Kluyveromyces lactis: one gene and its partner. Each later gene encodes a partner of the first gene's protein in a complex. Links are inferred from orthologs where the notes say so. Each region holds a gene or a part of one and is shown on either strand. Other genes may lie near its edges.

Region 1 (2,476 bases):
AATCTTCATCTTGACGTTTAAGTGTGAAACCATCGTGTCAGTGATACCGAACGAATCGAAGGTGTCACCAACCAATGGTGCATTGGAATAAGTCACTTCGGCTTTTTCATCATGAGCATTACTATTGGTAACTGTGTCAATATTTCTACTGGACGTGAACAAAGAGGAAACGATTTGCGAGTTTAGCTGTAATGGTTGCGTTACCCTAGCTGGTTGTTCTACATTAGAACTGTTATCAAATCTTGATCTCTTAGGTTCTACAGGTGCCTGTGCCGAAGTTGAATTCGAAGAGGAGGCTTCCAATTCTTCAAAAGTTGGTGCTCCATCAGATTCTAATGGTCTCTTTTCACCCCTGACCCTCGGTTTACGACCTTCCATCATCATTTTGGCCTTTCTCCTGTCCTTCCATTTACCACCGGTAATTTTACCTCTACTGACTGTTTCACTAGCATCACTAACGTCAGTTGTAAAATTTAACAGCATTCCATCATCGTCATCATTGAAACTCATCTTTACCTACTTGATGATCGTTGATATGGGCTGCTGAGCGACGTACAGAGACTTTCACTTCATCTAATGTCAGCTCATCGCACAGTTAAGTCCTACTTCCATATTAAAATTTTCTATGCTTGATGTCAAGAAAAAGCAATACAAAGGTAAATACTCACAGAATTGGATAAAATACAGTTAGATTGGCGACTATCAGGATCGTTTGAACTGGACATTTGACACTGTAGTGGTTCGTGCTATGTACAGGTCATGTTATGTGCTGAAATTGATATCTCTTTGGTTTCATTACTGATTCAATTCTACAAACCTTGTCTGAAGTTTAATGTTAAAGCATATTATATACACGTAGAAAGGCAGATGGACAGAGACAAAAGTCGCTTATGACAAATATTAATAAGGTGGTGATGAAATACTCGCCCAGCCGGTATGGAACCAGTTGGAAGGTGATAAACCATCCTTTTACAGACGCTTCTCTCTTCTTGTTTCAATGATCACAAGACACGGCTCATCGCATCGATTGAAATTTTGACATTTCGGATGAGAAGGCTCACTCATTAGTACAACTAATGAGTGTTGAACCACTTGTACAACCAACTATTGTCCTGTTTCTATCCAGGTATCTGTAAGAGGGTGTCAGTGGTCTCAAAATGTCTAATGGTTTGTTTGTTACCGATGAGGACGGTGATACTGAGATGAATGGGAACGGTAAACTCGATAAGAAGCTCCAATCATCAGAGATTCTTAAAGAAGACGATCCAGTAGTGAATGAAATACCCATTAATTTAACGGTTGGACCTTGTCCATTGCATGTGTTACAGTTTCCTAACAAACCTAAAAGACTGGCGAAGAATATGGATGAACATCCTCCAATTGCTGGTGTACGCTATAAGGATGAATCAAGCGTTTGGGAGATAGATATCCCATTGAATACACAGGTCTTCTTCGACAAAGAAAAAGCTGCTGAGTCTTGGAACAATGTCGACGTTCAAACTTTGAAAGGTGTGGCTGTAAGCAACGACATGTTGCAATACGCAGGCGTTATGAAACAAGGACAGCTATATTTAATACCAGTAGAGAAAGTTGCCCAAATGAGACCATACTTCCGTTACATCGATTCGCATCAACAGGTTAAGAAGGACGAGGATGCCAAGGCGAAACCTGCGAATCCAACTGCCAAGAAAAACCAGGTAATAACAATGTCAGTGAAGAGTAGCAGCGAAGCGAATCAAAATAGACTAGGAGGTGCATTGCTAGCTCATAAGGTAGCAGACGAAGAGGAATTCAAACCTTTGGAATGGAAGGACGATACTTTCGAATCGTTTGTAGAAGAAGTTACAAGTGAAAAAAGTACTGTACCATTAAAACCAATGGACAACGACGCTGTGTATCTATCAAAACTATTTTAATTAATTATCGTATTTAGTAAGTATAAATATATATTAAACCGAGAAGGGATCAAATTCTCCTTAATCATACCACATCTTAATCAACTCCTCAGAAACAGCACTAGGTGTCAACCCTCCAAGATCAGTGATCAAAGCTGTGATGTATTCTTGACTTGTAAAGTCGACAGAAGGCCCACTCAATGGTTCTTCATCGTCTTCTATACCGTTTTTGCTAAAATCTAATGGATCTCTTTCCATTGGAATATCATCTGACGAAAGAGGGAACATACGTACGAACTTATGCGACTCACTAACCACATAGAATGGTTTCCTTGCATTCTTCGCCAAGACACCGATAGAATACGTTCCTACTAGATTGATAATACCTCCAGATTCAGCAACACCTTCGGCTCCCACAAAGATCTTGTTTACCTTATGGATGATCGTACCAACAGCATTATCTACAATCATTGTCACTGGGATACCCTTCTTTTTAAGTAAATGATACAGTTGCAACCCTTGGCCAGACGGTCTGGATTCAGTGACGATACATCTAAATCTGATTAACTTCTCTGCTGCAT
Region 2 (2,688 bases), about 680 kb from region 1:
GGACTGGCACGATTTGTTCATCCAATTGAAATCTCAATTCGGATTAAAATCCATCATGGTTGAAGGTGGTGGGATTGTTATCAATGATTTGCTACAGAGACCACACCTTATCGATGCCCTGGTCATCACCGTTGGTGCCACCTTCTTGGGTAGTGAGGGTGTTGAAGTGTCTCCTCTTATTGAAATTAATTTGAAAGATATCTCCTGGTGGAAGGGAACAAGGGATAGCGTGTTATGTTCACGTCTTGTGAGCCATTCCTGATCTTTACCTGTTTTCCTAAAAATTCGAATTCTTATATCAATGAACTCTCTTAATTCAGACATGCTATGTTCAAAACGTGATTAATCATTTCCTTAAATAATTGAAAAAAGAATCGTAATTAGATTATGATATCCCCTGATGGGTTCTCATACGAAGAGTGTGTTTAAGGCCCTATTAGTTTCTCTTGCTCTAATTTGGTCTATTATTATACACACGCATTTACTTTACTTAGGGTTGGGGAATGGCTCTTTTTAATTGCTCTTATAAACAGATTCTGTAACTTGCGTAACGTCCAGAAGTTTCAGACTTTCTAATAATTTTTATAACCTCGCCTCTTTTCAAACCAAGGTATAATGCTACTGGGTCCATTCTTTGGATTCTAGGCAATTGAGATTCCTTTAATCTATATCTTTTTAATAATTCCTTCTTTTCAGCCTCACTTAACCTGATATGCTTTGGGACTAGTTCGTGATGTGTAATATTGACAACCAAAGATGCTTCTGGGAAAGTCTCGATGACTGCTGGTGCTGCAGTTGGTAAAATCTTGTTTGCACTTGGAGTAATACCACTTTGATAGATGAATATACCAGTTTGGAAGTTCTTTTCCGTAATATGAACCACAAAATTCTTCATCGTCTTCACACCAACAGATGCTTCATCACAGAATTCCACCCATAATGAACCCATCTCAGGAAATTTTTCTATTGATTCTTCGGTTGGATTGGACTGGAAAGACATCATCTTACGTTGTGGCTTGCCCATAGAATCACAGTATTTAGCCTTAAAATCTTCTAAACTCAAATCTATTTCCTCCTGGGTAATGAAATATCCACGGTCCCTAACCATTTCCTTCACCGTTTTAAAAGCTCTCCATAGCCTGGAAATGTTTCTCTCCTGCTCTTGATCCATTGTTACAAAAATTGTGCGTCACTTGCCTTTGATATCTTATGAAACTAACTTTTTCCGCTTGAAGATTAGTTCGTATTAAATTCTAAAATGCACAAACAAGTACTAAGAACTCAATTATCGATATGCACAAACAAGTACTAAGAACTCAATTATCGATATGCAAACTAATCTTACCCCTTAATTTCAACCGGTACAAGGACTATTCGGCTACCTAACTTCAATCTTTTCTTAAATTTCAATCAACAAATTAATGGATTTGTTTCTCATCGCTTTCTAAATTTTGGAAAATTTTGGCTGAAAAGAAAAAGAAAAACTTCAACAAACCTTCGAAATTTCAATGCGATGAAAGAAGGAAACAGAGCCAAACCATCAAACTCGTCCTTCATGATTTCAGTCACGTGCCTGTCTTGTGTTGGTATGGAATGCTCTGAGTCAAGGGCGGCAGGTGTAGTTCTATGTTTGTATATATGTCTATATTTAGTTATATATATATATATTGATAAGCCTGGGTGAGAACTTAGTCTCACAGTCTCTCTTAATTTTAAGTCGGTTTACGTCTATATTCAAGAACAATGTCTGTGTTTGATTTCCAGTATAAAGTGCGTATAGCACTCAGGGTGATATCGTTTTCTAGTACTGTTCCTTTGCACAAGATTTCTAACCATTCGCTTGGATCTTCTTTGTTTTTCATCTCAGGTGTCTTTGATTCGAATCTATCCACTATGTAAGTCTTGATCTTTTTTGCCTTTATCATATTTGCAGCTGTTAATCTAACATTGCTATCGTTAATCTTCGGTAGCATTAAGGGTGATTCAGGTGGTTTAGATTTTTTGTGGAACCCTGATCTTTTATGTTCTACTACTAGTCTTTCAGCCTCTGGCGATTGTTGCGTTTCCTCCGATAAATGAGCCTCGTCCTTCCAAGGCTGGATGATGAATGTGATTTTTGGGTACGTCTTAATGACTTTATCCTCTTTGAAAAGAATCTTTCCAAGCCATATCGGGAGATGTCTTTCTAATGATTCATAAGTATGGTAGTTATCGATCAAGTCGTTTGCCGTATATGTAGGGGGTGGGAGATATGTGGAAAATGCAATAGTTTCCCCTGTGGACCCCTCTTTCCAATGGTTGACCGTGAGAATGCATCCACTCTTGATTTGTATCACGGGTCTAGTTGAGTCTCTGATGAACAAAGTCTCGGGGATCCGCCTCCCAAACTTCATGAACGTTGATGAGGAGTTTGGAGCCTGTTTCAAATAAGCGTGATAAACTTCTTCGATATATTCGTTCAAGAAAAGTCCTGGCTTTCGTTCAGACAGATCTTTGGAAAAACTCTTTGAATTGAATTTGAAGTTCACTTCACCATTCCCAGTAGAAGAGATACTATGAAGGTCATCGATGCTGTTAGTTTCTAGTTTTACCCTCGATGATCTGTTATGGAAACCAAATGTGCTTGAAGGTGTAGCAGATCTCTCGATACTTTGTTCAGTAACAGACCTTGTCAAAGTGAGGTTCGCC

Evidence for each region.
Region 2: RPC37 (region 1) and RPB5 share a complex: the UniProt entries of both Saccharomyces cerevisiae proteins name them as parts of the RNA polymerase III (Pol III) complex. The link is inferred for Kluyveromyces lactis from reciprocal best matches to the Saccharomyces cerevisiae genes RPC37 and RPB5.

The regions. Positions count from the first base shown.
Region 1 is NC_006042.1:1,291,719-1,294,194, forward strand, and holds RPC37 (DNA-directed RNA polymerase III subunit C37), read left to right. Parts: upstream 1-1,157; coding exon 1,158-1,916; downstream 1,917-2,476. Other genes in the region: DBP7 (putative ATP-dependent RNA helicase), read right to left, coding at 1-510; GCN3 (translation initiation factor eIF2B subunit alpha), read right to left, coding at 1,977-2,476. UniProt on the Saccharomyces cerevisiae protein: DNA-dependent RNA polymerase catalyzes the transcription of DNA into RNA using the four ribonucleoside triphosphates as substrates. Specific peripheric component of RNA polymerase III which synthesizes small RNAs, such as 5S rRNA and tRNAs.
Region 2 is NC_006042.1:1,968,061-1,970,748, reverse strand, and holds RPB5 (DNA-directed RNA polymerase core subunit RPB5), read right to left. Parts: upstream 1,172-2,688; coding exon 524-1,171; downstream 1-523. Other genes in the region: RIB7 (2,5-diamino-6-(ribosylamino)-4(3H)-pyrimidinone 5'-phosphate reductase), read left to right, coding at 1-262; DUF1 (Duf1p), read right to left, coding at 1,713-2,688. UniProt on the Saccharomyces cerevisiae protein: DNA-dependent RNA polymerases catalyze the transcription of DNA into RNA using the four ribonucleoside triphosphates as substrates.